Linked DNA regions of Drosophila melanogaster. Changing the gene in region 1 together with any one later gene gives a genetic interaction. Each region holds a gene or a part of one and is shown in the gene's direction. Other genes may lie near its edges.

Evidence for each region.
Region 2: of Snr1 (region 1) and CycE, changing one suppresses a phenotype caused by changing the other (phenotypic suppression), as found in Drosophila melanogaster (3 studies listed by BioGRID).
Region 3: of Snr1 (region 1) and px, changing one enhances a phenotype caused by changing the other (phenotypic enhancement), as found in Drosophila melanogaster (one study listed by BioGRID).
Region 4: of Snr1 (region 1) and sbb, changing one enhances a phenotype caused by changing the other (phenotypic enhancement), as found in Drosophila melanogaster (one study listed by BioGRID).

What each region holds. Positions count from the first base shown.
Region 1 is NT_033777.3:5,467,023-5,474,596, forward strand, and holds Snr1 (Snf5-related 1), read left to right. Parts: upstream 1-3,903; 5' UTR 3,904-4,036; coding exon 4,037-4,308; intron 4,309-4,802; coding exon 4,803-5,643; 3' UTR 5,644-5,732; downstream 5,733-7,574. Other genes in the region: POLDIP2 (polymerase (DNA-directed), delta interacting protein 2), read left to right, coding at 1,008-1,607, 1,667-2,008, 2,064-2,417; mRpL44 (mitochondrial ribosomal protein L44), read right to left, coding at 2,539-3,437, 3,490-3,556; HDAC3 (histone deacetylase 3), read right to left, coding at 5,854-6,923, 6,993-7,081, 7,144-7,301; CG45100 (uncharacterized protein), read right to left, coding at 7,351-7,467.
Region 2 is NT_033779.5:15,739,983-15,748,428, reverse strand, and holds the start of CycE (cyclin E), read left to right. Parts: upstream 1-1,818; 5' UTR 1,819-1,945; coding exon 1,946-1,974; exon of another isoform or gene 1,975-2,172; intron 2,173-2,785; exon of another isoform or gene 2,786-3,037; intron 3,038-7,529; exon of another isoform or gene 7,530-7,637; coding exon of another isoform or gene 7,638-7,657; intron 7,658-8,446. UniProt on the Drosophila melanogaster protein: Essential for the control of the cell cycle at the G1/S (start) transition. Targeted by archipelago for degradation by the SFC ubiquitin ligase complex.
Region 3 is NT_033778.4:22,557,408-22,566,022, reverse strand, and holds the start of px (plexus), read left to right. Parts: upstream 1-3,957; 5' UTR 3,958-4,104; exon of another isoform or gene 4,105-4,124; intron 4,125-4,880; 5' UTR 4,881-5,277; intron 5,278-8,615. Other genes in the region: dnr1 (defense repressor 1), read left to right, coding at 1-328, 888-1,529, 1,597-1,903; CG11362 (uncharacterized protein), read right to left, coding at 3,234-3,529, 3,590-3,629.
Region 4 is NT_033778.4:18,352,391-18,360,852, reverse strand, and holds the start of sbb (scribbler), read left to right. Parts: upstream 1-3,556; 5' UTR 3,557-3,715; exon of another isoform or gene 3,716-4,797; 5' UTR 4,798-5,353; intron 5,354-8,462.

The sequences.
Region 1 (7,574 bases):
AGAATATTATTAAAGGAAAATATACAGAGAAATTTAATTTACTTACTTCGCCGGAAACGAAAGCGAAAAGAAGGAAATAGTGTGGCTGCCTCTAGACGCCACAAAAACGCGATATGTTAAGTGAAACAGCGCGCCGTTGCTCGAAAGTGTGCTGTTAGGGGCAAAATAAACCTCAGTTGAAAAGAAAACCCTTAGTAAAAATAAGACAATACATTGTTTAAATTTTAATTTGTATTCACAGTTTATGCATACTCAAGATACGAAACATGGGTTAGTTTAAATCGGGTTGAAGAAACCATATGCTCTTCTCTGTTAAAACTATAAAAAACAACTGCTTAGGCTCATTTAGATGGTTCCTTTCTAACATTCAACTTTATGTATGAAATTATTAAATATAATTGTTTTCCTCTGTAATTTTACATTTTTAGTTTTACCAAGCTTTTGCCAACTAACCACATTTTAAAGAATAAAAGGGATAAATTATAGATAAATATATCCTTTAATATGGTAAATTTATTCCGCTGAATAGAAAAAGCAAGTAACACTATCTGCAGAGTAATGGGGTATACAAGATTCGTATTAAAACGCAGAAAAAGTCATCTTCGATTCTCTAAGGTGTACATAATTGTTCTTGATTGGACTAAAACTAGTCTTGTAATCTCTTGTTTTATATTTAGATTACAGATTTAATTATTTTCAAATTTAAATACAAATTCTGACAGATTTGCCCCTGAAATGTTATCGACAAACGAATGTGGTTATCGCCGACTCGCGCAATCGCATAGAGTTTTTTTTCAGTGCCGAAAACAACATCAAAATGTTCATAACAATGTTGGGATTTTAGAGACAGCCACAAAATTTAGAAGCACATGTGCCCTGCTAGATCGAACCGAACCTGAGAACTGATCGCCGAAAGAAGCTGCAGATTGTTGCATAAACCGCGCGCGCAGCTACCGCTCCGAACTCGAAAAGGTGCTCCACGGGTCTCCGAGCTTTCCGAACTTTGGATGCGCCGCGATGAGCTTGTTGGTGCAAGTGTTCAAGTGGGACCAGCGATGTCCCATGCTCCACAGGGTGGACATCCTGCTGCGGCGTGGCGTCAAGAAGCAGGCGGTGTATCCGACCAAGTGAGTGGGGTCCTGAATCCTCCTGAAAATTGCATAACACGTCATTTGTACAGACTGGCTGAGGTGGGTCGCCTGGTGGATGCCCGCGACGACCGGTACGAGACGGGCCAACTATTCCTGCACCGCATCTTCGGCTACCGCGGCGTTATACTCTTCCCCTGGACAGCCCGCGTCTACGACCGGGATCTGCACAATCCTGGCAAGATTAGCGCCACCACGACTACGAGCGCCAATCCGACGCAGCAGAACCGCACCAAAGAGGCTTCGCTCCGCGTGAAGGCCAACACCTCCGCTTCCCCAACGGCTGCTACCGCTCAGAGCGCCGATGCCCCCACCTCGACCGCCTTTGAGACGAACGCGGCTGAAAGTACAGGCACCACAAACCTGGGTACCACCTCCCAAGTGGATCCCAAAGAGGTCAAGGGCAAGGTGCAAACCTTTTATCAGGTGCTCATAGACACCCGCGATTGCCCGTACATTGTAAGATGGGTCTAGTTTTGCTTCCTTCGTTTTCTAAGTTGGCATTTCGTGTCTTTCAGCGCGCCCAGACCGAGGCGGTCACCTTTCTCGGCAACCAGGACTCCAACCGCAGCCTCTACGCCATCCCCGGGCTGGACTACGTGGCCCACGAGGACATCATGCCTTACAGCTCCAGCGAGAAGAGTCCGCTGCAGCACGAGCTGTTCGATAAGTTCCTTACGCACGCTCCGGACGCGGACCCGCCATTTGTGGGCCAGGACACTCTGAAGGCGTGGCAGGAGAAGAACCATCCCTGGCTGGACATGAGCGATGTACACAAGGAGACCACGGAGAACGTGCGCATTACCGTGATTCCCTTCTACATGGGTTGCCGGGAGACGCCTGCTAGTTCGGTCTACTGGGTGCGTTAATAAGAAACTCCTTTCTTTAGTTTAACGTCATAAAGTACCTTTCCAGTGGCGCTACTGCATCCGACTGGAGAACCTCGGCGAGCTGAGCGTGCAGCTGCGCGAGCGCCACTGGCGCATTTTCTCACTGTCTGGAACCCTGGAGACGGTGCGCGGAAGAGGAGTGGTGGGCCAGGAGCCCATTCTGAGCCCCCGGCTGCCCGCCTTTCAGTACAGCAGCCATGTGAGCCTGCAGGCTCCCAGCGGCCATATGTGGGGCACCTTCCGGCTGGAGCGCGAAGACGGATACTCCTTCGATTGCAAGATTCCGCCCTTCTCACTGGAGAGCAAGCCGGACGACCTAGGGACGCCCACACCGGCCACGCCCAGTGCCCACGATAAAAAGCGCGACGATAGCGATTAAGAGGCAGTTGTTCACCCGTAGTTAAATGATTTTAAAACGCAATCTTTTCTGACAATGCATGCGTACATGTGTTTAGTGCAAATTACAATAATCAACAAGGACGCAGAGCCAGTTTTGATTCTCAGCCAAGTCGCACGGTCTTTGGTTCTAGCTGAATGGCAAAGTCAAAGGGTCTCCGGTTGTCGCGGGTGTCAAAGATGCTCTGCAGAGCGTCGAGTGCCGCAGTCTCTGTGGCTGTTTTCACATCTTCACCGAATCCCTTGCCCAGTAGCTGCCGGTTGGCGTAGATGCCTACTTGGTAGGCGGCTAGCACAGTGTTCTTTCCGCAGTCTCCAAGCAGGCGGGGCTCCGCTTCGCCCAGCTTTCGCTCCTGGCATATCTTCTCCAGCAGCTGGATTGGTTCCTGGGGAGTCCACACCTCCAACAGGTCCTTTTGATTCAGTTGCGTGCAGATGAAATCGCGTACAAAAATGAAAGCCCTCTCGATTCCACTGGAACTGGCCAGGGCGCCAATAACTGCGTGTAAAGATTTGGCCTGACTTTCGGCCGAGGGCGGGTATTCCGTAGACTGTATCAGATCCTTTGTGCCCAGGTGGGTCGAGACGTGAGCAAGCGTTTCGGTGCTAAGTAGATAACTGGCGATCGCCTGGAGTCCTTCATTAGGGACCTTCGGTAACTGGTGCTGCAGGAAGGCCTCAACGTAGGCACGGGCAATTTGTTGGCCCTTCTCGACCAGATCGCTATTGTGAGGCATCTGGAGGTCAGACTCCTCAATGCCTAGCTGCCGACGACGATCCTCCTCCCGCTCTGCAAACGATTTCTCTGTAAAAGCACGCTGCAGCTCCGACAATTCAAAGGATTCGCCCAAACGCTTGCCGAACGCGAAGAGCTCCGATCGCTGGTTCCACTCCACGAACCCAGAACGCCGCTCTGGCTTTTGTGGTCCTAGTTTCTTCTGCCGGTGGGCGAGCTCACGTAACGTTGGCGAAACCCATCGCTTGATGTGGCGCCTCGTTTGCACTGCCGAAAATCACGATTACTGACTGGCATTAGGTGAATCCGGGTTACTCACCAGTCGGTGAGCCCTCCAAGAGCTTGACACGAGCCAGGAGACCAACAGCACTGCGTAAGAATGACATCTTTAAAGCGATCTTAAAAATAAGTAACGAATATGTTTTCGCGCATGGGAACTAGTGTTGCACGGGTTTTTGTGGCAGTGATGGCAGTCTAACCGTAAATATAATTTTATAACTTATAACTTAACTTATACATTTTAATAATATTTGTTTCTTGTTGTTTCTATATTTATTCAGAGATGTATAATTAAAAAAAAATAATAATAACTAAATATGTTTCTTTATGAATTATAATTTTATCATTTAATCGAGTAATTATAACGAAAAATACTTTCAGCTTTTTATTTAGCGTTTTGTAGCTAAAAGGCGCCAGTACTAAATTGCGTTGGTGGCACCCGCTCGTTTTCCAACACTCCCGCAATAGACGCCATGTACATGTCTGTGTTTGTGTATGCGCCAAGAAAATTTAAGTCGCGGAATATTAACAAGGAATCCCTGCCAGAAACAGGGCATTGAGAGACCACAGAAGAAAATATACCCAACATGGCACTGCAGACATACGGGGACAAGCCGGTGGCCTTCCAGCTGGAGGAGGGCGGCGAGTACTACTACGTGGGCTCGGAAGTGGGCAACTACATGCGCCACTTCCGCGGCATTCTGTACAAGAAGTACCCGGGAATGACCCGCATCGTCCTGTCCAACGAGGAGCGCAAGCGGCTGGCTGAGTCCGGCCTCAGCTCCCACATCTTAGCCAGCTCTGTATCGCTGCTCCGCGCCGTAGAGGTGGATGATATCATGGCCGGCAACGATGAAAAGTAAGTGGGCGTCTTACCTAAGTAATGTCCCCAGAATAGTAACTAAATAGGGCCTTTCCTAAAAATTCCAATTAACTTCGTTGATATCTACTTCCTACTAGTCCTACTTAAACGTTTGTTTTTAAATGTTTAATCCAATGGTATCAAGTAATCCTTTTATCAAATATAAGACATGTGTACATTTGGCTGAAGATTCTTCATTTTAGTAACATTGTTAATGACCACTTAGTTAAAAACCACTTATCATTCTGAAGTGAAGACGTATACAAACACACATAGCCACACACTGCCCAGTTATTTTGAAAAAATATGGAAAAATGTCATAGACATTTTTGGCAAAGCTGCCACAATAGTCTGTATGATTGACAACGATTTCCAATTGAGCACGGAGAATTGTATTATTGTCAGAATGTTGGGTAAATTTTGCCTGCTTGCAGGGCCAATCAGTCAATTTGCTAACAGTTGATTTAACTAACCATGAATCTCCGTCCCAGGTATCGCGCCGTCTCCGTGAACACTTCCGATACGCCAGTGCCGCGGGAGAGCAAGTCAAAGAAGCAGCCACAGTATGTGCCCACGATGCCGAACTCCAGCCACCTGGACGCAGTGCCACAGGCCACGCCAATCAACCGAAACCGAGTGCACACGAAGAAGGTTCGCACATTCCCGATGTGTTTCGACGACACGGATCCCACGGCTAGCCTGGAGAATGCGGCGCAGAAGGAGTGCCTGGTGCCCATTCGACTGGACATGGAGCTAGAGGGTCAAAAGCTGCGCGACACCTTCACGTGGAACAAGAACGAGAGCATGATTACTCCGGAGCAGTTTGCCGAGGTGCTGTGCGACGACCTGGACCTCAATCCCCTGCCCTTTGTGCCGGCTATTGCACAGGCCATCCGACAGCAGATCGAAGCCTTTCCCAACGATCCCCCCATCCTCGAGGAGACCTGCGACCAGCGGGTCATTGTTAAGCTGAACATTCACGTGGGCAACACCTCGCTCGTCGACCAGGTCGAGTGGGACATGTCCGAGAAGAACAACAACCCCGAGGAGTTTGCCATTAAACTCTGTGCGGAATTGGGATTGGGAGGAGAGTTTGTTACGGCCATTGCCTACAGCATTAGGGGTCAGCTATCGTGGCACTGTCGAACGTACGCCTTCAGCGAGGCCCCTCTATCAACGATTGATGTGCCCTTCCGGAATCCCAGCGACGCTGACGCATGGGCGCCATTCCTAGAGACGCTTACCGACGCCGAAATGGAGAAGAAAATCCGCGACCAGGACCGCAACACGCGCAGAATGCGACGACTGGCCAATACCACAACTGGTTGGTGATCTTCCGCCGATCCAGCAATGTGTCACTAATGTAATCCTCCTATTAAGTACCATTATGCATCCCAAATAAATGTGTGTCTGTCGATTTTAAAACCTATTGTCTTCTACGCGCTACTTCCAAAAAAAATAGTTCCAAACGATGTTACAAAATAAGCTGATACTCTTTACTGCTTACGCTAAACTCGAATCCTTATTCTACATTATCCAATACTAACTTTCTGCCGAATCGGGCTTGTCTTGGTCCTGATCGCCGTCGTAGAACTCGTTCTTAGCATCAACCAGCTTGTCCTCATCGGCTACGGATATTCGCACGTCGGGATCACTCGCCTCCTCCCGGTTGCTGCGCAGCTCCTCCAAGTCCACATCAGGCGGGGTCTGCACCATTTGGACGCTGGGCGAGTGCTGGCACATCTTAAGGTTTTCATACACATGCTTAACGATGAGTTCAAGATACTGCTTTGAGTTAGCATTATCTTGGCGTGAGTTAATCTCTGGATGGAGTGTAAAGTCGGGGGCGAAAAAGTCGTAATACTCGGTGGCGGGTAGGTCATTTTCAATGTCTTGGTCCACCAGCAGCGAGGTCTCGTGCGTCCAGCAGCGGGCCACGTTCCGTAAGGTGTAGCCACCGCCTCCGACCACCAATGTGGGTACGTTCAGTTCCTTCACAAATTTGACACACTCACCATGTCCCTTGGTGCTCAGGGAGAAGCAACCTAGTCGATCTCCAGCTAGTGAATCCGCGCCACACTGCAAAACGATAGCCGTGGGCCGGTAGAAGTCCATAATGGCAGAAATTATGGGTTTGAACACCTGAAAATAGCTCTGGTCATCAATGCCCTCCTTTAGCGGCACATTAACGCTGTAGTATCGTCCCGATTCGGCGCCTATCTCGTACATGTCTCCCGTGCCGGGAAAAAAGTAGTTTCCGTATTTGTGGAACGAAGCCGTCATCACTCGGTCCGTAAGGTAGAACGCCTCCTGCACCCCGTCGCCGTGGTGCACATCGATGTCGATGTAGAGCACCCGAGGATGGTACTTAAGCAGCTCCAGAATGCCGATGACGATGTCATTCACGTAGCAGAATCCGCTTGCCTCGAACTTCTTGGCGTGATGCAGTCCGCCCGACCAGTTTATGCATATGTCGCTGTGGTTGTGGTTCAGCTTCTGGGCTCCCTCCAGCGAGGCACCCGTGTACATTGCACAGAAGTCGAAGAGGCCATCGAACACGGGACAGTCCTCGCCTACGCTGAAGTGCGCCAGGTACTTCGTATAGGCCACGGCTTAAGAACAGAAAATTATCAGATTATTCTAAATGTTATTCCAATTGGGCGACTTCCTCTTCAACTCACAATTGCACTGAATGTTTTGTGGAGTCACCTGCTGTAAGTAGGCGATGTACTCGTCGCTGTGGAAGCGGAGCATGTCCTGCGCACTGGCCCTGCAAAGAATTCCGGATTAGTATAATTTACGCGGCACAGACACACCTCTCCGCCAACTCACTTGTACGGCCTGTAGATCTTCATTTTCTTGTGCAGTCCGTAGTTCATTACCAGGCTGTGAGTGACCGCCAGGCGTTGCGGCTTCATGGGATGCCCGGCTCCATAGTGGAAGTTGCCCACGTCCGCGTTGTAGAAGTACGACACCCTACGGTCCGTCATCGCGCCAACTTCTCAATTGGATCGGTTATTGCAGGGACGCCGTAGTCCCCTAGTTGTGGACCAAATCCTCGCCGGGCAGCAGGTACGTCTTCGCATACAGGACAATCAGCAGAACGGCCACGATGAAAAGGAGTCGCCGGGTTGTGTCGTATTCGCCCAACAGCATGCCGCTCCCGTGGTCACCTTTGGGTACCTTTGTTTAATCGTGAGATATCAATTTGCTAACTTATTGCCAATTGAAGACAACTTAAAGCGGCGTGCGCCGATAGTGTA
Region 2 (8,446 bases), on another chromosome or scaffold:
TCTTTTCTAAAACCCCATTTAACATTAAGCACGTTGCACATCTTTTATTATTTTAAATACCCGATTTCCAGATATGATCAGCCCGGAAAAATAGTGAACTAAATATGCAGAGCAGTAAAAGTCAGGCTAACATAGAAGTTATTTTTCAAAATTTGAATAACGCGCCAATAAAAATCCCGCAACGCGATCGGCCGTAGTGGCAACGCCGCTGCCACTAAACTCCGACTCTCTCTTTGCGCCGTGTGGCCAGATGATTATGGCCTTTTTTTTTGCTCTTTCATCGCTCTCTCGATTTCGATCTCGTCACAGTGCCACTTGCGATCATTGTGTTACTTTGGAGTCGCTGAAAAATCGCGGGGATCGCATCGAATTGGCCTTGACTGCCGTGGGGTTGAGCTAGCCGTGAAAAAGACCGCAGAACCACGATAAATCTGTCGAAAAAGGTGACAAAAAGGAGGCTATACTGTCTTGCTGGCTGGCGTGCGTGTGTATGTGTGCGGCGGTGTGTGCAATTTTTTTCATCACCATTCCAGTCCGCGTGTGTTTTTCAGTGTGCAATCCCGCTGAGAATTTGCCCGAATCCTGCCCAACAGCAGGTGAGTGATGCCGGCCAATTGGCCCATTCGATTTGCAGCAGGTGCAGGGTTCAAAAGTTCGTGAACTTGCTTTTTAAGCCATTTCCTTTAGACCCCGTTTTCTCCATCGATATTGTAGCAGTCGAAAAGTAATGGAAAAAAAACGTGAGCAGCGACGTCGACGTTTTTGCCTCTTTCTCTCTCTGTTCCCCTGCCCCTCTCGCGCTCTCTTCCGCGCCTTCTCTTTGCGCGCGCAGCTGTCATCGCTGTCAGCAGCGCGCGCCGACGTCGGGTTCCCGCGCGCGGGAAATCATCAAGTTCAATCGATTCTAATTTGGCCGAATTGAACGGGATTTTCGATTTTAGTGAAAAATCAGATTCTGCGAGTTTTGATCTTTCAATTGGTTATAGGCACGCATGGTTTTTCATTTAGCTTACCTGATTTATAAGCGCTCGAAGTTGGTGCCAAAAATGCTCGAATGTTAATCGATGAAAACAACAAAGTGGCAGTGGTTTGTTTGGTTTCAAAGCAGCGTTACCACCTAGTTCGACCTCAGTCATCTTGTCATATGTTATTTGGCTGCAGTTCATAAAAACTACTAGAAAAGCATATTAAACCATGTAATTTCAGGCTTCTGAAGAATAAATAAATAATTAAAATTTTAAAGATTTATGAATACCCTTCAAGATAAATTTATTTTAACCTTGAATTGATTTTGGAGCGCTTTAAAAATATATTAAAAAAAATAGTTTCATATTAAAATTTAAATATTTATTTTCTGAAGGTCATATTTGAATTAAAATTGGCATATGACATAGAAATAAATCTTAGGTATTTATATATAACCACGATATATCCGACTAAATCCGCCCTTCTGGCATCCTCGTCAGCTGTTTTTCGACCACCCAGCTGACTGGACGTCGAACCTCCAATTGTAGTCTGACTAGCCTGTTGGGGACTGGGGACTCCAATTGCAGACTCCATTCAATAAAATGCCAAGCTTGCCACCAGCGGCTTCATCGCCCCGTCTCGCTTTCTCACGCTCTGTTCTTTGCGCTGGAGATGCTCGCCCCATCTCCGTCCCTCCCCTAGAGTACAACAAAGTTGCCCCCTGTGTTTGTTGCATTTTTTGGCGCTTCGGATCCGCCTGTTTTGGCGCGTTCCTCATGCACACTCGCCGCAGTCGACGTCGCTGCTTTTGATACCCAGTTCCACCAATTTTTTTTTCGGTTCCAAAGCGATCACTTTGCTGCCGCCGCTCCGCTGCTCGTGAAGTTTTTTCGTGGCCGGCGACGACGACGACGAAAAACTCTCGAAAAACGTTGTTCAATTCCCTTTAAGAAAAACAAGTGAAAACACCGGGGATATTATGTTAAGCATTTTTCCGCTTACTAGAAGGTAAAACCAATTGCACAATGGTTTTAGTGGATAAAAGGCAATACGTTATTCAGAGTGGAATAAAATTTATGACGCGTGTGCGGTGACAAGTGTGTGTGGAACAGTGAAGGAAAGAGCGGGAGAGAATGCTGCGTTTGCCGTCGTGTCTTTGCATTTTTTGCTACAAATACAACATCCTCTTATAAGAAAATTGACACGCTGTAGGATTTAACCGTTGCTTTCTGATTGGCAAGAGACGGGGTGTCCAACTACAAATTGTCTCCCCCACACAGTGTTTTAGTGTTCCCCCTATAAGGAAAAGTGTCCTATTAGAATTAAACCGTTATCCAATGGGAACAAATTGGAAAATCCTATGAAATAAATGAAAGCTTCTAATCACGTCTAAAAGTGCACTGAGTTTCTAATGCGTAACGGGAGTTCAGTGAACTATTACAGCTTTTCTTACTATAGAAGGCTTGAGATGCAGCTTATGGTTTACCCTGCTGTTTGGGCCAACTTTCTAATCTTTCTCCCGCCCGAATTGCACTTTTTCCCGCCATTCGCATAGATTTTGGGCGGTAAAACAAAACTGCCCCAGCCCAAACGCCTAATTCGCGCCACTTTGCGTTTCTCCATTCTTTTCCCATGCTCATTTCATTTTTATACGCTTCCTCCAATGACACACACACAAGCACAAACTTGGAAGAAATGCGCTCGCTAAGAGAGAGAGTAAGCTCTCTTTCTCTCGCTCTCTTCCGTTTTATTCCAATCAGAACAGCGAGTCAAGTTATTTTCCCCTTCCCAACACCAACAACAAACAAAAACGTTTTAGTACTGCGCTCTAAAACGGAAAAAAAGAGAGCATTTGACTGCGACGTCGAAAAAATTCGGAAAATCGCCGATCAGTCGACGGACCTTTCGAAAACTTGACGAACACGAAGCAGAGGTTCAAAGCAAAATGGAGTAAACGAGTGAAGAACAAAATAATGAATTATGTCAAAAGTGGCGCAAATATCTTTGGTACACGAAGAAAAAGATTGGTAGTGGCATTTAGCCCTTACCCACAATCTACGTACATACATATGTATGTATGTTTACATATGTAGAATTAATAATAGTATTTTAATTATTGTAAAATCGTGGTTATATTTATTTTTGTGAGTAGTTACTCTATGTACGTGCTCCCAACCAATGAGTGAGCGAGATAGACTGCCAAGTGGAGAATGGAGTTCATTGATATTTCTCGGCGTTTTGCTTTCGCTTCCCCTTCGTCTCCACCTTGCTTCGCGCCATCTTCGTTCTTTCCTCTTCTCCTCTGCTTCCATTTACCTGCCACATTCATTTTGTTGTTGTTTTCTTCGCAATTTTTGCTTTCTTCTTTATTTTTTGCATTCTTTTGACGTTTTTTAGTTTGCGTGTTCGCTTTTTGCGCCGTTAAACTTTTGGAGCGATCGCGGCGGGGGTGTGCGTGGGGGGTGGGTGGTGTATTGTTGATGGGGTGGATTTTTGTATACTTAATTTTTCGATTATGTCATGATCGTGCCGAAAATCAGCCGCTTATGTTTAGATTTGGCCAGTTTAAACCATGGGGAAATAAATTGTTTTTCTTAGAAGTGATTTTGAAAAAAGTAAGAGCATCAAGTTTTTGATGATTCAGTGTCGTGAATTTTGTATATTTTCCCAACATTTTCTTTTGTTTGACCCACCTAAACACTCCTTATATGATCTATTCAAATCCTAGTCAACACCTTTCAATTCTGCTCATGATCCTCCAAGTGCTTGCCACCTTCGAAAGCGGTATGTCATCAAAGGATTTTCTAGACGAGATGGGAACCCAAACTGATCTCGAATATTTTCTCATCATATGTACATACATACGTAAATGGTTATAGGAATCCACACATATCAACTGGCCATATTAACCCGAATTCCTAGTAAAATACCAACAATATTTCTCAATTACAAGTGCGGAATGTTTTACAAATATTACATGTTCTCCAAAAGGATGAGTTGTGAATAGTAACTCCTTAAATAAATGGTTCATATGTACATATGTATGTATATGTGGGCATTTTTTTTTTATAGTCCATACACATTTTTGTCGCTGCGGCAGAAGAATCCGATTCGGAATCGGAATGAGGTGAAGCCGTATGTATGAGGAGCAGAAACAACAATGATAAACAGTTTCCAGTTATTCCCAGACAAACAAAGGATAGTCCGTCCGACTGGCGATTTGTGGAGCGGGGAAGAGACAGGACGCAGGCCACTTGAGCTAGCTGACTCGCTGTGGGCATCCTTTTAGACGCTGCTAAATATAAACTAAATAGTCAATTGAGCGCGTCCCGATGTCCTAACGGCTACTTCAAGGCCATCGATTCTTGGAACTGGAACGCCGCCGTCGCCATCGCCGCCGCTGCCGCTCCATTCAAGAACTTTGATTTGTTCTCCTCCATCGGCTGGGCCGACTTTACTTTCACACGCCGTTTTGCCCAGGCGGCGCTCTTTAGATACCCGGCACACAGATACTCAGATACTCGGACTCACAGATACACTGATGCGCGCAGGCGAGGATCGACTTTCCTGTTCTCGTTTGCAGTACCCTGTAGTTCTGGGTAGGGTGGGCATATGCGACTGAAGCAACACAGCAAACTTGGGCCAATTGACCATTAGAATTTAAACGCATTCATGAGTATGAAAAGGAAGCATCAAAGATCGGGTTCAATTCAATGATGCTTATAAAGCAATCTTCGTGTATTGGTTTAAACTTTTAGTAGTATTATTTATAGTTTCATATTATGCAAATATGATTAGGCTTTCGATTTGAGAAAATATCTTCCTAATGAACTTCACCCTCTTACCCTATCAGCATTATGTAGCTATGTTGTTACACAACTCCTGCAGACTTTCGGTCCACCGAGTTCCAACTAATTGCAAGAGTGGTGGCCAAACCACAACAATGGAGAGGAGGCGGCATTGGCATGGACAACGCCACAAATGCCCAGATGCATGTGCATTTTTATCTCGAGTATCTCAGGAATGTATCTCGCCGCATGTGCAGAGGAGCCCAAAATGCAGCCCAAAAAGGACGCACAAAAATTGCAGGCCCAGACAGTTGAAGACGCCGGATAACTCGAGACCTGTTTTCCCTCTACATATGTACATATGTATATAGTCTGGCATATACTCGAGATACATACATATTTGTATATAATTTTTTTTGCGCTCTTCTTTGCGCATTTTGCGCATTCTTCTTTGCATTGCCTCAAGTTGCATTTCATATTGTATCTCGAGACTTGGTCCCATTTCCTTGTGGGAAATCTTCCGCACAAAGCAAATATTCCGAAGATGAGGGAAAAAAATACGGTCGACTTTATTTTCGACACTCGGTTTTCCAGTTAAATGACCTTGAAGGACCCCGTCCAGGTAAACAGATTCACTCATGCATCGTACACCTTTAATTAGGCGCTGTGCGCAAAGGAAACCCCCGAGTTTATCCGCTCGATCCGCGGCATTATTCATATTTGTATACCTGTCGCCGCGGATTTCGCCCGAACTCGCAGCCTTCTTCACTTAATCTTCATTAGAGGAAGTTGCAGCCGCAGCCTGCGTGTGGGCAGTTCCTGCAATTAGGTAGGAATCTATCTTAGTCACTGGTATTTGGACAAGAATTGGATTGCTCTAGCGATAATACAGTCATTTGTTTGCCAAGAGCCGCTGTCAACTGTTTTGTAAAACTAAAGGATATTATCGCATCCTTATTAACGAATATTAATTTTAGGACGTTTTGTGATTTACAAAAAAGATTACATTAATCCGACTATAAATGATGTTAGATGTGTAACATGATTACAACTGAGAGATAAATGTCTATTCTATTGCGTTTTTAGGTTTCTGCTGTATCTTAAAGATACAAATTGTTTCATAATGTTTTTTGAGCTCGAATATTTACAAAACCCAGATCTTTATATTGGGATTACGATTTAAATGATGATCTTATTAATTGTTTTAAGATTTTTAACATATTCTTAAATGACCAAAGAGACTTATTTTTCTGTGTAAGGAAATTTCTTTGTTGTAAGTAGAATAGTTAGGGGGTTGAAAACTAAGAAAGCAAAAATGCTCTAAAAGGACTTCGGGGAAGCAGAGGGAACCCAATTAATTAGAAGGCATATCCGCAATTAGTGTGAAAATGATGGTTGGAAACAGCAAAATATTGTGCATGAGAAAAGGCCGGAAAACGCAAAAGAAAAGCGAGGCAAAAAGTGAGGAAAATAGACAATCCGTTGCGTAAGAACAAGAAAGTAGGGGAAAGAAAGTCGTTGGCTAAAAAGCATTCGCATATGGGGTAGGAAAAAAAGGTGTCGAACTGAATGGTAGGCCGAAGGGAGGTCCATAAATCGTGGCGAATATAACGCCAGGCCCATATGTCACACGGAAAAAGGAAAATAAATGAAGGAAGAAAGGAAGCGAGGAGGGGAGGGAGGGGTAGGGCTAGGGGAAAAGGAAACGCGACAGGATACAATTAGCGAGGGGGAAGTCAATTGAAGTTACAAAAGCAACAGCAGAGACATTGCCAGAATCCTTTTAGTTGGGGTAGGATCTTCAACAGCTGCCACTCCACTCCCCTTCTCCAATCCCATCGACTCTACTCACCTGCCCCGCATCGCATCGAACCCATACTTACAGTTCTAACAGAAGGTCAGCGATCAACTCTAGCCACAACAGGTGCAACAGGGGCACTAAGGACTCGGCTCCTCGATATAATTAAGCGTTGTAAACCACTAGAAAATGCGGACGTTGCGCATGCGCCGAATGCGATGCACCTGACATCGGTACACTCAAAAAATTAAATTATCTCATAAGTCAAGCATTACGGAGTTAAAAAAGTATTTATCAACAATACATCGTACTTGCAACAACAGAACTCTATTGATTTCTATAATTTAATAGCACTTTCAGTTGTTTGAATTGTATAGTTATGTTTTTCAAGTGTAAAGGAAATTCAAGGGGAGCAGCTGAAGCTGAAACTGCAGCAGAAGGCATCAATCGAGACTCGTGGAAATTCTATTATGATAAAAAGATGACCATTCCGTGACTACCTGTTAAGATGACCCAACTCCAAAATGGTCTTCCCACCCATCTTTCTATTTAAGTAATTTGAATATCTTAGACACACTTTGCACCCCAAAGAAAAATATTTACTTTCTTTCTTCGTTTTGCTAAAAGCAAAAAGTTGGTGTATATATATGTTTTTCGAGAAAAACTCACGTAAACAAATTTGTTTGGGGTTTTCGATGCAAGGAGACTTTTCGGCCACATGCTGTGTGTGAGTTTCCCTCAAGGATCATATGTTGTTTTTTCCACAAGGATCTACAGATAATGTTTTACTAACTGTTGATAGGTTTTGTGAAGTCGTAAAAACTCGAAAACGCGTCGCATGTGATGACCATATCCTAGAAACTCTTATCCAATTAGTTTATATGCCATTTTTAGTTTTTAATGATTGCTTTACAATATTATTTAAATGTTGTTTATTATATTTTATTAAGTTTATATTTTGTTTAATTTACTTGCAGTCCTCTTTAAATTGTACATTTCATGCAAAACATTTCTGCTTTTGACGAGCAGCTTAAAAACAAGATTCAGGATAAAGAACCTTGACGGCTTCTCAAGGCCGTACAATTATGGGTTTAAATGCCAAGAGGTAAGCTTATGAGTACTTTATTCATTTTAAATTCTACTGGCTTACTTTTAAATAATTTAATTTAATTTTCGATGTTTTAAGAGGTAAATTATTCTTGCAAACCCCAAGTTCGATTTGAGTTTGTAAAAATCTTAGTTTCAAGCGAACCTGCATGTTTTTCTTGACATCTCTTATGATCTTAGACATTTCCTTTTCCCATCAAACACTTTTCGTGACTTCCACTTCCTCCGCAGCCCTGACCAAACTAATTAGCACCCCACATGAAAGCCAAGAGGCGACTGACTCCCCAACGGACTGAGCTACCATTTGTTTCTAACGCTCGGCGACTTCCTGTGGCGACATCCGATCGACTTCCTTTTTAACCACTAACAACACTATCCTGGTAGGCAGCGCGTCTCCCTTTAATTCTCTTAACCAAAAGTGATGTTTATCTAATAGCTATTTCGTAATTATAAAGCGACAGAGCCCAACTGGTTATGCCCGAATACGCCGCGGGAAAGTTGGACCCGCAGGAGCTATAACCACTCGGGATCCTACTGTTCCAACCTTCTGACTCAAGTGCGATAATCTAAAATGCATTTTCACTGTCAATTTTCAAAACAAAAAAAAAAAAGCCATCTGTTTGTAGGTGTTAAAGTCGAGGCAGCGTTGATAACCAAGTGCCGCATTCCTCAACACTCTTGCATACCTTTACAGGACCTTTCCGAGGTCCTGCGTGTGATTAGTATATAATTGCGCGCGAAAATGTCATTAGAAAAGTGTTTAGTTGTGGGACGGTTCAGGTCAGTT
Region 3 (8,615 bases), on another chromosome or scaffold:
CCAGCAACAGCAGCAGCCAGACGGGCCTGGACGAGCGACTGGCCAGCAATCCGCTCCGCGTCTACGAGGAGTACTTCATGCAGCCGAGCTGCGAGGGTGAGCCACCGGCGGACTATCTGCGCCAAATAGCCGTGGAGCACGGCAAGCTGGCCAAGCTGCAGATGAGCCTCAAGACGGCCAAGTACTGGCTGCTCAAGTCCATCCAGGATCTCGAAGGCTACGGCGAGGAGCTCTTTAGCGGCGTGACCACCAACGAGAGTGCCACGCGCTGCGACATTGCGGTGGGCGCCCATGGCATCACCGTCTGCCGGGGGGGCGAGAAACAGAGGTGAGTTGCAGGACACCAAGGATACGATCAAACTTTCTATAACCGGAAGTAGAAAACTCACAAGGCACTTTTACCACAACTATGAGCTTAAAGAAAGATAGAATCATAGAGTTTTCTAATAGCTAATCGCACTTCTAACTTACCTAATTCATATTTTTACTAAAACCAAATTGAGTAATTTCGTATTCATAAACAAAAGTCAAGGTGAGAGGCCTTAAAAAAGTTGCTCAAAACGAAAACAACATTCTTATAAGTAGATGGATGATACATTAACCTGAATAATTCAATGGCATTTTTATAGTCGCTTCTTGGCAATATCTTTCGAAATGATTTTGGCTTCAAGTTAATGTAGCGCAAAATTAGCGTCAAAGGTAACATTTTTAATAGAACTCACTTTATGCGCTATAAACCTTAATGATTAATAACCAAATGCGCAGTTACCATTTGATTTGAAAGTGCCTTGTAAATGCATAGAGCTTATAAATCCAATCGACTTCCTTTTTTCTTCTTTTCAATTAAGTTTTTCAAAACTAATGGATTTGTGTCTCTTTTCGTTTAGCATCCCCTTTGGCGCCATCGCTGCGGCCAAGTCGCTGCGTCGCACTTTCAAGTTGGAGTACGTGGATGACCACAACGATCGCAAGGAGCTGGAGATCAAGCTGCCCAAGCAGCCGATCGCCGCGGGCCTGTACCGCTCCATCACGGAGCGCCACGCCTTCTACGTGTGCGACAAGGTGCGCGGAGTGGTGACCAATCAGTTTACCCGGGATCTCAAGGGCACCATCGCCTCCATGTTCATGGAGAATACGGAGCTGGGCAAGCGCTATGTCTTCGACATTCAGCACACGTGTCGCGAGGTGCACGACCAGGCGAGGAGGACTCTCCACGAGCGGGGCGGCGATCTGGTGGCGGAGGGAGCCGAGGGATGCTCTGCTGTCGCTGGAGGATTGGGCGCCTCTGCCGTCGGCGAGCCGGGCGTCAGCCCATGGGCCATGGCCCTGACGACTGGTGCCGGCGGCTCCATGGCCGGCAAGATAGATTTGGCCATACGCGAGAAGGAGGCGCGTGAGGCGGCGATTGAGCGTTGCGTGGACACGCGCATCTCGGAGGCCATGCAGTGCAAGATCTGCATGGACCGCGCCATCAACACAGTGTTCAATCCGTGCTGTCACGTCATCGCCTGCGCCCAGTGCGCTGCACGGTGAGTTGTCTCTGCAGCCTTGTGCTCCCATTGAATCCTTACTAACTTCCTTAATCCTGTCTTGCAGATGCAGCAACTGTCCCAACTGTCGGGTGAAGATCACCAGCGTGGTCAAAATCTATCTGCCGCCGGAGCTGCGCACCAGCCAAACCGGCAGCGGCGCCACAACCACCAGCAGCAGCAGCATCATGGGCGACGGCCAGGTGGAGGAGCAGCTGCTCCAACAGCAGCTGGACGAGATCTCGGCGGCACCCGCATCCCTCGAGGCGGGCGCAGATGCAGGAGTGGGAGTTGGCGGCATGGCAGTGGGAGCAGGAGCAGGAGCAGGAGCAACCGGACCTGGCGGACAGCCGAAGGTTACGACGGCCGCCTAGAATTGGTTGTGCTCGCTGCTGTTCCGGCTGATGGAATGGGTGTGCGTGCCGATTGTCTGAGAACCAACATGATTCACTAGTGCTCTATGACCACAACCTAAAAGGGGAACAAACCGACGAGGCAAGCAAGCAACTGGCAGCGTGCAACATGCCACGTGCAACGTGCAACATGTCACGTGCAACGTGGGTTTGAAATCGATTCGAAGCGGCGTAGTCAGTCTTTCAAACAATCTTAGCTCTATCTTTACTCAAGTATTCTAGCGACATAAGCAACTGAAACTTTAACTCTAACTCTAGCTGTAACTCTAATCTACAGAGTAGCCATATACACGATATATATATATACCTAATATATATATATATATACATATATTTACTATTTATAGATGTACGAACTTCGAGAAAGTGCTATTTAAACTCGTCTAAGACTTCACTGCATAGCCTATGCCTAGAATCTATAACTGCAGATTGTTTCATATTCATATACACACTGTATACTGTATACACATAGATATATTTACGATCGTTATAGATCAGCGATACCTTATACGATGTAGCCCTTGAATGTACAACATAGTTACTTACTAAATGTTAGCAATTTTACCAACTAAAACTCGAGATGTATTTATTAACGCCTAAACTCTTTAGTATTCCACCCTACCCAAAGGAACCTATATAAGAAGCCCCCCAAATTCTCATATATCTAACCATGGATACCTATTAAAAAACTATATGTTATAGCGTGTGTATATATAGGACAAGCGTACAATAATCGCAAACCCAAGGAGCAAAGTAGTACTAAGTACCTGCAAATCAAACAGAAAAACATAAACCGAAACTGAAACAGAACACGAAACACGAAAAGTATCTCTGCAGCGGATATTACATAGTCAATAGTAAATGTTAACAATGTTATACTATATATACATAGATCTATATATATATATAAATATATATATATATATATATACATATAAAAGAAACCAATGAAAAAACCTTAAATGTACCTTGTTATCTGTTGTTTATTATTTGGAAAGCAAATCTTCGTTTCTTGCCGTCTTTAGTTGAAAGCTTTCTGTGGCATATTTCTTTGTTCTTCCTTAACGAATTCTTCTATCATTTATCAGTTTTAATACTTCATTTCTTTTCTCCTTTGGCCTCGTTGCAAAACTGAATTCGAAATAAATGCTCTTGACCAAAAAATCTCATCAAGTTCCTCTCATTTGAAATCATCAAAACCTCATCGTCTTCTCCTTTCATTTTCTTATTTATGAGCGCGTTGGAATTCTTCTCACAGCTGGAAAATATATCAAAAAAGAACATACTACGCCTATGTAATGAGTCCAATGAATCTGCCAAAGGTCTCGATAAGAAACCGCATCATCTGCAAATTATCCATTTCTGGACTCAGCTTGAAGTACTGAGTAATCTTCGGTTTTCTCTTTCCCGGGATATCCCTGTCCACATTTGTAATGAGATGTTTTAAGTAATGCGGAATACTCTGAAGACCAAAGGGAATATTTTCGTTTTGCAGCAGGAACTCTTCGGTTTTCATAGTAACAGAATTATTTGGCACTGCCATTTTCACACTTATTTCGTTGGGAATAGCTGTTCCGAGTGTGATTCCTAAGCCGGCAGGGAAAATTCATTAGTAGAATTTATTTTATACATATGTTAATTGCTTACCCAAGAAAAAGTGCAGAATAAAAATCACTATTGAGTTCATTTTCAGACCTAATTATTTCTGTTACAATGTTCTGATTTTGGGTTGAGTTGTGACGCAAAGTATACTATTTGAAAACTTTACTTCGACGCTTAATTCGAACAATAGATTATTATAGATTCAAAGTTTATTTAAATTGAAATCTTTAAATCCCGTTATGTTACATTTTTGAATTGCGCGCCCAAATCTTCCACGAACGCGTTAGCACATAACTCAATTTGAGCCGCTTGTGAGCAACAGCTGATCCACTGCTCTTCTTCTTACACTCCAGACAATCGCAGCACGAAATCCAGCGATGTGGCAACACCGCCGGCCAGGTGGCAATTCTGCTGCGCAGTGTGCACACACTGGCAGCCACTGCTGGTTGGCTCTTCTTCTTGCAACTGCTGCAATTATATATCGCTGTTCCGTCGTCTCCGCCGATCCAACTCCGCGCAAAAAACCGCACATATATCGCTCAACGGTCCGCGAATAATCCGTAAATATTGCAATTGCACGGTGGGCACAAAAAACACGACAAAATAAAAGGCCCAACACAAAACAAACGGAAACTCACACGGACACACGCACACACACGCAGGCGAGCAGCTGACGCCGGCAGAGGCAGTGCAGCAGCAGCGACAGCGGCAGAGCAGCGACGGCAGCAACAAGCAACAAAAGCAAAAGGCAAACAATTGGATAAGCGCTATTAAGGTGTTAAAAAGGCAGCCAACTTAACAGTCCAAGAGTTCAGCTTGAAAAGCTAACGGTTCCAAGGTCGCAGCGCGAAAAAATCGAAAAAAAACACTCGCTTTTTAGCCGTCTTGTTGTTGTTTTGGCTGCTGCAACAGTTGCAGCCTATGCGTATGTGTGTGTGTGTGTGTTGTGTGGAATTGTGCGATCGCCATCGTCCGTTTCTCTCGCACTTGCTGCTAATAGTCGCCGGTGAAATGGTGTCGCCTTTCGCAGCCGACGTCGACGTCGCTGCCGACGACGGCGCAGAGACCACCACTGTGGCAATGAAACGCAATTTGTTGTTCTTGTTTCTGTAAAAATGTTTACAATGCGATCAAAATGCACTGGCAGAAATTAAGAGTGATAAGCATCAAATTTAGCCCATTAAAATTTGAAATTGTTAAAAGCGATGTGATAAAGTTTATAAACACAACTATAAGTTTGAAACACATAAGAATAAAATAAAATCTAACTTGCGCGAAATTCATTTTCTTATTTTAAACCTGTAATAGTGACCGAAAATTTTGAAATTCTTTCTAGATTGTTCAGCCACAACTGAAACATAAAATCGAAACCCTATTTTTACCAGCTTAACATGGGTAAAGTGAAACTTATAAGAAAACCATGAAGAATACCGTGAATGCTCAATTCAAAATTTGAAAATCCACTAGTGCTCTTAATAGCTTCAAAAGCAAGTGAAGAAATTTAGAATAAAGAGTGTGATAACCGAAAGAAACACCGAGAAACGCCGAGGAAAGTCTAGACAAGTGCCTGAAACCAAATGTGTTTGCCCCGAAGTTAAGTCCCTTCGATCCGCCCAAATCGGCTTTAATTCCCGTAAATCCCCTCTTCCGCCCAATAATTCCGCCACAAAAACAGGCACATGAGTTGGATTAATCGGAGTCAACTGGAATAGGCCGAAGCACCCGGAGCACAGGTCAGTATCGGAACAATCAGGCCATATCGACTGACATCAATCAGTTAAAACATTCAAATACCGTTTGCTCAATTGGACGGTTCGCCTTGAATCGGTTGAAACCGGTTGCCGATTACCGGTTCGCTTTAAAATTCAATTAATTTAAATCAATTCAGACCAGACAGTTTGGTTTCGTGTGGTTTCCATCACAAATATCCGCCGCGACCTAACTATTTCTAAAAAAATGCAATAAAAGATTGCACAATTCCTAGCAATCGAGGAATTTCAAGTGCTGTACAGCAAATCTGAATGATACTGATATTGACGCTTTTTAAGTGAAGGCATGACGAAAGTAAGACGTTTTTTACGGCATTTACAAAATGCTACTCAAAATATTAGGTTTTGATACGGAAAATCTCAATAGAATCTACCTTACATCATATGTAGATAAAATTTAAAAGTCTTTAATAATTTATGAGATTTTAAATACAAATGCTGAAGTTTGCCATCGAACGTAATTGCAGAATCCTAAGATATTATCATTGACAACTTATTGGGCTGCAAAGATAATATATAAAATATATATTCAATTATTATATTTGTCCAACTGATGGAATTAAATAATCATTAAAATGGTAATTTAATGAGGCGCTTTTGCAGAAAACAAAAGCAAACCGCATGGCGAATAAAACAAAAATCGAAATAAAAGCGATGATTTATGCAATATTCAAATATGCATTTCGCACAGGCACTCACACACACACACACACACACACATACATACAGATAGCATTTGGCTTGAACTTTAAAGAGCGACTACGGTTATTAATTTAACCTTTTTATTTGGCTTCACTTGGTTTAATTTGTGTCCAGCAGGTCCCAAAAACCTGAATGCGCTGATGGCCAGCTCCGCAAATCCCTGAGCCCCTCTTAGCTGTCCGGTTTTTTTTATTTTTTTATTTTTTGGGCGCCCTTAATGGAAAAAATGTTGAGCGGTCTTTTTGCGATTCTCCTCTCGGCTTAATCCCATTTTTGAATACCCTAGCAATAGGGCTTATAACTTCGTTAAAATGGTGAAATACTCTAAATAAAAACATAAAACATATATGAACTTATTTGATTTCAAACTCCAAATGTTGCATGCTTTTAAGCATTTTAAAACCATTCGGTTTTTTGATCTCCATAAGATGTTCCTTATTCCTTGTATATTTCGATTCATCGCACATCCATAGATGATTGATACTGTGCGTATCCGATAGGGTATTCTTAATTCCGATTCGTACATATACCATTTTATACTCGTTCCCCATTGTTTTTGCGTCTGTTTACGTTGAACTGGGGGCCACTGAAATGGAATCGAGGAGAAGGGTGCCCAAAAGGAAAACGACGTCCTGCCATAAAATTGCATGTCCAAGTTGTTTTATTTGATTATGCGATCGTGTGTGTGTGTGTGTGTGTGTGTGTGTGTGTGTGTGGATTTTTGTTGCTGTGCTCGTTTTTTTTTTTTTTTTTGCTGCAAGAGTTTATTGCGCGGAATGCTATTTAATAAATTCCATTTTCTCTGTCATTTTGCCGTGTTTTTGTTTTTGCATCTCGGGCAGGATTTATGTTCTTGCTTTTGTTAGCGCTGTTTCCGCTTTCCATCTTGTTTGTTTGCCCGATGCAAATTTAAAAAATTCAATTTCCCTGGTAACTCCAATTGCGTCAAAGGCCAGCCAAAAGTTGCGGAAATGTGAATTATGTGCATCCGTTGCAATATGCACAGCGTGCTTCTTGGCTCGCTGCGATTTCATATTTCACTGCTGGATTTATTACTAATTTTGTTCCCCATTTTTGGCCCCTTTAATGCAGTTTACTTCCCGCGGCGCTCGCTTTTCCTTGGCTGAAAAACTGGCACAGAAATACTAGGATAGATAAAAAAAAGCGACGAACAATAAAGACGGCAAAACTTAAGCACCTTAACTCACTTTTGCCAGCTCTCAACTCTACAGCAGAAACTCGCAGAAAAGAACTCGACATATAATCGAGAGGAGAGCGAACGAAAAGAATTTCAAACTACGCTAAAAACTTTTCCGAACAACGCAACTTTTTCTTGCCCCAACCAACACCACCACCACCCACCCTCCTTCGAAAACTTTTCCAATGTTCCTGCACTCGTTTTGTTATTGTTATTGTATGCAACTTCCGCCACAGCTATAACTATAACTATGGAATAGAAAAGGCGAAAAAAAATACAAAAAAATACTGGCAAGAACATCGATGATAAGCGGGAGTTCAATGGTTAAAGCTGGGCATTTTCCGCATTTGGGGGAAAACTTTAAAAACTGGTTCGCTGCGTTTTCTATTTCACTTGTTCTCGGGCTGCTGCCACGCCCTCAAAAAAAAAAAAAAAAACAAAAGCAAGGACATGGGGGCCATAAAAATGTTCCTTCAGGCAGCTGGGGGGAAAAACAAAAAACTTTTAAAAACAACTGCACGGGGAGGAAAAACAGGCGCAGGTGGGCGGCAACAAAAGCAACAATGTTCAAGTGCAGGCACTGGGAAAACTCGGGAAAACACACTTGAGGTCAGTTCAATAGGACAGGCTTCCCAATAATTATAATAATAATATTTATTCTCATAACATCTATAAGAAAACGTATAATGTGCTTAGATAATATAATATATAATGTTCAACTTATTCAGCTAAAGTTAACATAGTAAGCCAAATACTACAATTGTTTTAGCCACAACTGTGTGCCCAACACACTGGAAAACAAACAAAAACTCGGCTAACAACTCTTAAAAGCTGGCACCAGGAAAAATGAGGGTAAAATACAAAATATGAGCGCTCCAAACTGCATTTTCCCACAAAAACAATTGCATGGCCCTGCTGCATTTGCAACCGAGTAAAAAAAAAATCAATATAATGCGCATAAATAAATTAAAAATAATTGCAATACGAGTAGAAAAACTTCCGTTTTGCATGCCTTTGTTGTTTACATTATGCAACTTTATTATGGCCACTCGAAATTACTGCTGGCAAATTATTTATTTGTAAATAAATAATAAAACATTTAATTAGTGGGGTAAACATTATGATTACATAATTTGGATTAAAAAACAATCCAGTTGCAAAATAGCACACTCTGCTTAACTGTTGTTGCCATCTGCCATCATGATGGGAATCGCTAAACGAGGGCAGCACAAAATTGTTTAGCGAATCTATACTATAGTATACTACGGTATAGTATAGTATGTACTTGATAAAGCGAATTAGCACCATTCGAATCTGGTCCGTGCCATAAGCAAATAGCCGATATATTTAGCCAGGCGTCCGACCGGATATATCTGGAACTCCGAAGTGCAAAAAAGTTCGT
Region 4 (8,462 bases), on another chromosome or scaffold:
GTACGGCATGGGCAGGCTAGATGTACAAACTCTCCAGGAACTCTCGTCGGACCATCTTCCTATTCTGGCTGTATTGCACGCTACGCCGTTAAAGAAACCACAACGCGTACGACTACTTGCCCATAATGCTGACATAAACATATTCAAAACCCATCTTGAACAGCTGAGTGAGGTAAATATGCAAATTCTGGAGGCGGTGGACATTGATAATGCCACAAGCCTTTTCATGAGCAAACTAAGTGAGGCTGCTCAGCTTGCTGCACCGAGAAATCGGCATGAAGTAGAGGCCTCCAGACCACTTCAACTTCCTCCCAGTATATTGGCACTGCTCAGGCTAAAACGAAGAGTTCGAAAAGAATATGCTAGAACAGGTGATCCCCGCATGCAACAGATCCACAGTAGACTGGCCAACTGCCTGCATAAGGCCCTTGCTCGAAGAAAGCAGGCCCAAATAGATACCTTCTTGGATAACTTGGGTGCTGACGCGAGCACAAATTACTCACTGTGGCGTATCACGAAACGGTTCAAAGCTCAGCCCACCCCAAAATCAGCAATCAAAAATCCGTCTGGTGGCTGGTGTCGCACTAGCTTGGAAAAAACTGAAGTGTTCGCTAACAACCTTGAGCAACGTTTTACACCCTATAACTATGCACCGGAAAGTCTCTGTCGTCAGGTTGAAGAATACTTGGAATCGCCCTTTCAAATGAGCCTGCCTCCGAGTGCTGTCACACTGGAAGAAGTGAAGAATTTAATAGCCAAGCTGCCACTTAAGAAAGCTCCTGGAGAAGATCTTCTTGATAATAGAACCATTAGACTTCTCCCAGATCAAGCATTGCAGTTCCTTGCCTTAATATTCAACAGCGTTCTTGATGTTGGCTACTTTCCGAAAGCTTGGAAATCGGCGAGCATAATTATGATCCATAAGACTGGAAAAACACCGACAGACGTTGACTCGTACAGGCCCATCAGCTTACTCCCATCTCTGGGTAAAATTATGGAGAGGCTGATCCTAAACAGGCTGCTCACATGCAAGGATGTTACCAAAGCGATTCCCAAATTTCAGTTTGGCTTCCGGTTGCAGCACGGTACTCCTGAGCAACTACATAGAGTAGTGAACTTTGCTCTGGAAGCTATGGAAAACAAGGAGTATGCAGTAGGTGCCTTTCTTGATATTCAACAGGCATTTGACAGAGTCTGGCACCCTGGGCTCCTGTACAAAGCGAAGAGGCTGTTCCCGCCGCAGCTATATTTGGTTGTTAAAAGTTTCCTGGAAGAACGCACATTCCACGTCTCTGTTGATGGGTACAAATCATCAATCAAGCCAATTGCAGCTGGAGTTCCTCAAGGAAGCGTTCTTGGCCCAACCCTATACTCAGTTTTTGCTTCGGACATGCCTACTCACACACCAGTCACAGAGGTAGACGAAGAAGATGTGCTCATAGCCACCTACGCTGACGATACTGCTGTGCTCACGAAAAGTAAAAGTATCCTGGCTGCCACTTCTGGTCTACAGGAATACCTGGATGCATTCCAGCAATGGGCTGAGAACTGGAATGTGCGCATCAACGCTGAGAAGTGTGCCAATGTGACGTTCGCCAACCGAACAGGTAGCTGTCCGGGTGTCAGTCTGAATGGGAGACTGATCAGACACCATCAGGCTTATAAATACCTTGGTATTACCCTCGATAGGAAGCTCACCTTCAGCAGGCACATCACAAATATTCAGCAAGCGTTCAGGACCAAGGTTGCTCGGATGTCTTGGCTCATTGCACCACGCAACAAACTGTCGCTTGGCTGCAAGGTCAATATTTACAAGTCCATATTGGCCCCCTGCCTGTTCTACGGCCTGCAGGTATACGGCATTGCTGCGAAGAGTCACCTTAATAAGATCCGGATCTTACAGGCGAAGACCTTAAGAAGAATTTCGGGGGCTCCTTGGTATATGAGAACAAGAGACATCGAACGCGACCTCAAGGTGCCCAAATTAGGAGACAAGCTCCAGAACATCGCCCAAAAATATATGGAAAGGCTTAATGTACACCCCAACAGCCTAGCAAGGAAGCTAGGAACTGCAGCTGTGGTCAATGCTGACCCTCGGACTAGAGTCAAAAGAAGACTCAAGCGACACCACCCTCATGACCTCCCTAACCTGGTTTTGACCTAGAAAGTCTTAGTTTTAAAATTCATTAGAATAATCAAATAAATAATAATTACTATGTTATATCAACTATTATAATTCTCCCTATCATTTTTAGGATTAAAAATCTGTTAGTCTTAAGTAACCAAGACACATTGTAAAATAAAATAATTTAAGCAGATCAAATTAAGTTGCCGCATGGGTAACAGTGCGTTGATCAAATAATAAAAACATCATCGAAAAAAAAAAAAAAAAAAAAAAAAAAAAGACAAATGTAATACAGTGCTCAAATATACAAATATTTAAACAAATAGGCTTGTACCAGCTTAACCTAAGCGCTCCTGATCTGAAACTTGGGCTGAGTGGAACTTATTTGCCTTTTGCATCGGCGACTGCTAAAGGCAACTTTCAAAATGCTGACGACGAATTGAAAATGCTCATGTTCTGCAATGCACCCTATATATGTAAATGTATACATATGTATGTATGTATATACAGCAAGGATATTTCTTGCCCATCATCATAATAATAATAAGGTGGCACAGGAAGGCGAGAATTACCACTGTCAAAGTTACACAAAGGTCAAATGGAACATTATGGCTTTATTTTGCGCCTAATAAATCTCATTATGTCATTATATGCTACTCCCCCAACCGCCAGCCCACCAACGAAAAAAAAAAAAACAAGGAGGAAATGGTCTTTGGTCGAGGAGATGGTGGAGGTGGTGGTGAGGTGTGTGCGTGTGCCTGCCAGCGTGCGTGTGGTGAGAAGGTGAAAGACAATAAGAAGGAGCAAACGGAAAGGAAGAACAACTACAACAAAAGGCAACTGACTATAGGCGAACGACATGCCAATCAGTAATCAATCCTCAGGACCCCACCAAAAACAATTTGCAGAGGCATAGCAATAACAAGAGCAACAAACGCAATAACACAAACAACAACAGCGGACAAGTGAGAGACCACACGACGGCACTGTAAACAAATTGGAAAGGGATGAACATACATAACTGCGCAATATGGCGTCGGCAGAGCAAGAGAGCGGGAGAGGGCACTAAGAGCGCACGAGCAAGAGCGAAAAAGCCGCCATTAAAGAAATGCCGCTCAGAGACCGTTTGTGTATGTGCATGGGAATGCCAGTGTGTGCGATGTAAGCAGTGGATGTGTGTGTAGAAAATGCCGCAGGGTTGTCAAGTGGCTGAGAATATTAACAAGTAAATAATCTTTTTATTAGTAAATTGTAACTTTATTGCTTTTAAGAGTTTGAAATCGCGATAACTATATCAGAGAAGCATTCGACTAAAAACAAGAATTCTTTCGGAACCATATAATTACCGAAATGTATTTGTTATTTTTCCCCATATAGCCGACAACCCTGCGCGTTGCTAGCCAACTCTCGCCTCTCAATTTATGCGCTTTTGTACGCGTTGCTCCTTCGGTTCGTTCGGACAGCACGGATAAAACGCTGTCGCCAAACAAAAACATAAAAAACACTGAGCGGATCAGGTTCTATCTTTAATTAAGAAAAACAACATCCCAAAAACAACAAGCAAGAAGGACTAAAATCTGTGGAAAAGAAGTAAGCAAAGCTGTTCCCCAGTGTGATTTCCTCATGTGCATTTAATGTAATTCAACTCGACAACAAAATAATAAGTGTTGTTGGCCTCTCGCTCTCTGGTCGTACCGCGTATCTGTGTGTGCGTGATTTAGTGTTTCGTCGCGTTTCAAGCAATTAACCCAAAGCAACGTAGAAATGCCAAAAACGCATTAAAAATTATTACTCGTAGCTGTCTGTCATTCACAACAGAAAAAAAAAATGAAAAGAGAAGAGTAACAACAGCAACGAGAAGAAGGAGGAGAGCGACAATCATACACAAGTGCTATTTGCCGCTACTCATAAAACAAATTACCCACTTGGGCCTGACTTGTGCGTGCGTTTGTATGTGTATCTCTGTGTGTTAAAAGAGCAGCGTAATCATCATCGCCAAAAAAAAAGGAAAAGAAAACTACTAAAAAGTAGTAGTAAAAAAAGAAAGGAAAAGGAGACGAACCAAAATGAGAGTGTGGCACTGGCAATATGTTGCTGCCAATAACAACAACAGCAACAGAAGCTTCATCAGTTGAATAGTACCGGAATAAAATTACTATACAGCCACTGCATGTGCTTGTGTGTGTGTGTGTGTGTATTGCGCTCTCCCTCTCTGTCTCTTTCTTTCTCGCTCGCACTGCCAGCCGCTGTGTATGTGCAAAGCTTTTTTATGTTTCGCACAAACATTGCGGTAAAAGAACGCCGACAAACGACGAACCCGTCGTCGCTTTGTCGCTCTCGCCAATTTCCGCGCGTGTGCAAGGTGAAGTCGCGTCGCGTCAGTCCGTCGGTCGTATAGTCTCTCTTCGTGTCCACTTCTCCCCTCGCTTGCCGTATCTCTGTCGTGCAACAACTCCCCCGTGTATTTTTTTTCTATGCCCCAAGCTCTGTTCACCGCCTCTCTTGCTATGCATGTACACGTGTATGTGTGCGGTGGAGCAGCTTCTGTTCTGCCAAATACATATGTACAGGCGGAGAGAAGGCAAAGGCAACAGAGCTTGGACACGCGCTCCCTCTCTCGTCGTCTCCCTCCCTCGCCTTACTCAAAGTGCCGTTTTTTCGTGTATTTGTAGAGAAATAAAGAAAAAAACAACAACTAACCTCATAAAAAAGTTCATACATTTGTCGCAAAAAAAAGAAAAATAGAAAAGAGAAGCAAATGCAAAAAGTGTCAAAGAAGTGAAAAACAAGCAGAAAAAAGAAGCAGCAGCAATAGAATCCAGCAGAAGCAGTGAAAAGCAGAAAGAAAAGCCAAGTTTGACTCTCTCTCTCTTTCTCGCTCTTACATAAATGGAAAATAATTCCTGAGATTGCGCTGCTAGGAAAATTTTGCGGATTTGCATTTCACCTTCCGTTAGCTCCGGGAGCTGGGAGTTTGGGAGTTTCTTTTGTGGATTATTACGCCCTCTCGCGTGCTCTCTCACTCTCTCCCCAAACCCCCCTCACGATAGTCGCTCACTGTGGGTGCGAGCAAGCCAGGAAGCAAAGGAATCATCACCTGCCCATCGCCACCCACTGCTCATTGCCACCCGACCCCCGAGCCTTCTCTTCATCTTTTGGATGCTGTCTATAAATCGGGAACGCGCATATTCAGAGCAGAAATTGCGACTATTTTGGATTTATAAAAAGGTAAGTTACAGTAATTATTATCGAATTTAGACTATCTAATTAATTTAATTTACAATTGTAATAGAGTTAATAAACAAAGAGCCAACATTTAGCTGCAATAAAATCTCTATTGTTTAAGTTTACACATCTCTAAGATACTCCACACTTTCTCTCTTGCTCGCACAGCACAGATACCTATTGAGTCAGAAGGAGAGCAAAGAAGAGAGGGAACGAGAGGGCATGAGCCTAAATTGATTTCCAGTTTGATTAATTACCGCACAAGTATTCGTGTACACATTTTTTTTTTTTCATCGAGTTAATGCCAATTAAGGCGTTTCAATCTAAGCCGATTTGTAATTAAATGGAGTTTTTTCTTGTTATTTCGAGCGATTAGAAAATTGACAGGCCGGTTGGTGTGCTTGGTTTTTTTATTATTTATTTTTTTTTTTTGTATTTTGTTTGTTACCTTTTTGAGATTTATTGAAGTGGATTTAATTTGGGTTTTTGTTCGGCACCAATGGAATGGAATTTCGTTTTGCAAGCGTAATGTGGGAAGACAAGCGGAATTCGCGGGTCATCAAGAAGAGCGATGAGAAAGGGTGCAGCGGGGGGCATGGGAATCGTTGTCGAAATGGAAATGCGAATCGGAATCACGCTCACCTAATGAAGCCTGCGGCGACGCGTCAAGCGAACCGAATGGCAAACAGCGCGCAGCCGAACGATGAGCGATAAACAAAACAGTGGAGCGGGGGTGGGGGTGCAGGTGGGGTTGGGGCATTGATTGGGTAAGGAAGGGAGGGGGGCGTCACTGGGCGTGTTTTGCATTTACTCGAATTATGAAAATGAATATCGGGTGTATGGTGCTCTTTTTCCAAATGGAAAAGTTACATTTCACTTATTTCCCTTTCTTAAAAATATGATGTTTCTTAAGTGAAAATATTTAGTTTTATAAAAAATATTACTTAAAACCTACTGGTTATAAACTAATACTATGCTAATCTTTCACTGCCCACCTATCCATTTGGTCATAAATTAAAACCCATACAAAATACATTTCCTTAACGAGCATTTCTACTTGATTATACTGCTTATCTGTGCAAATTTAAATTCGCTTCTAATTCCGGAAGCAAAATCTCCGTTGCCTTATCTTAAGTTTATTTAAATTTAAGTTTATATAGTTGTAGATAGGGTTGTTGTTTGCGTTTCTCGTTTCGTTTTGTTTGCTCATTTCTCGATTTAATTAAGTAAACATTGCAGACGCATTTCGGGTAAACATGCCAAAAGTGTTTATTTAAACAACTGTTTAGTCATAAATGCATAGATACACTTGCCGATATGCACACATAGCTACAGATACGCACACGCAGATACAATTAAGCGACTATTAGGCAGCGCTCTCTTGGCCCGGCCATAACACTAAAATATTTTACACAAATGGCCGGTACAAAGTAAACCGCACAAGGGGGCTTTATAGAGGGGTGTGGTATGAGAAGGGTGGGGGGAATCTGGCTTCCAGTGGCGCACACAATCGTGACGCCAACTTAGTTACGGTCATTAGCACCAGCAGCGCAGCAGCGAGCGAGCCGAGCTTGTGTGTAGAACTGCATGCACATAGATATGGAAACGAACTCGGGAATATGGCAGCACACTCATATTGCTACATACATAACAATTTGTCACACTGTGCGCCGGTATAAGTTGGCAACAAACCGTCAGATACAGTTGATATTTGGCCAAAAGAACTTTAAAGTGTCATAAGCCAGCTAAGCTGTGAAGTCAAGATAAAGTTTGTGGCAAAGCTTTCTTAATTTTGTTTAAATTACTATTTGTATCTAATATATATAATGAATTCCATTAAACAATTTGATATTTTCGTATATTTGTATCTCAATTGATTCAATTACGGCTCTTTTTGTTGGTTTTTTTTTTTGAACACACTTCACTTTGCCTGTTGGCTTGCCCCACGGTAACCGCAACTGCCGCAGTTGGCGGCCAACAATTGCAGCCAAGAGCCACGTTAACCGACTTTGGTTTGCGCATTTGCCGAGAGCTCCAGCGTAATTGCCCCACCGTCTCCGTCTCTTTCTAGCGCACAAACAGGCTTGCTCTTTTGCACCCACAGCAAATGTGTCAATTGGCTGACAAAATATTATACGAATATAATTACAGTGTTCATAATTCGTAGCATGTGCGCCCGTGCTGTTGTTGTTGTTGTTTTTACTGCTTTTGCTGCATATATATTATTTGATTTGTGTTCTTTTGGCTTTTAGCGAGCGAACGGTAGTTACAGCAAAGCTATGCCAATCTGGCATTGGCCCCCGTGTGCAGACATTTATTTGTCCATTTGTCAGGGGGGGCCAAACAAATGCCAGAGCCACCGACTTACTGGGGCCCCACCCAAAAGGCAAGGCACGATTAGACTTAATTGATTTGTTCAATTTTCATAAAACGCCCCGACAGTGACAAACGTTGCCTCGTTTCCGCCCCCGCCCGACCGTCTTTCCGTTCGTCTGTCTGACTTTCCGCCTGTCTAACTGCCTATCTGTCCGCCCATGCGAATTAGCATCGAGCTCGAAGTTTGCAATTTCAATTTCAGCTCAGTTCAGTTCAGTTCAGTTTCAGTTCCAGCAGTGTGAAAATGGATTATATTCCGTTTTCTTTGCACTGACAAGCGATAGCCAACAGGGAATACTCTGTGCAAATTGAATTGAAACCTTTTAATTTCACGGAATTCGATTGGAATTGATTCGATTTATTATATTTAATTAAAAAAAAAAAAACAAGCTAAAAGCTTGTTATTTGATTACACAATTCCCAAATGCATTATCTTATTGATAATAGAGCTAAGTGCTAGAGCTGCATATTGTCATTTACTTAATTTTAAATCAGTTTTATTCGCTTAGAAAGAAAAAAAGAAACCGCCATTTAAGTCTGTGATTTATTGGCACTTAACTTATTTTGAGATAAGATAAGTACAGAAAACCCAAAAAGTATAATCGTATAGTAAAACTCATTAGTAGAAAAAAAAGTAGTACTATTAATCATTCGCTTGTTCTAGTTTTCGAGTTCTTAAGCACTAATAAAACGGAAACCTTTTCTAAAATCAAAAAAACTTCCTACGATAAGATAA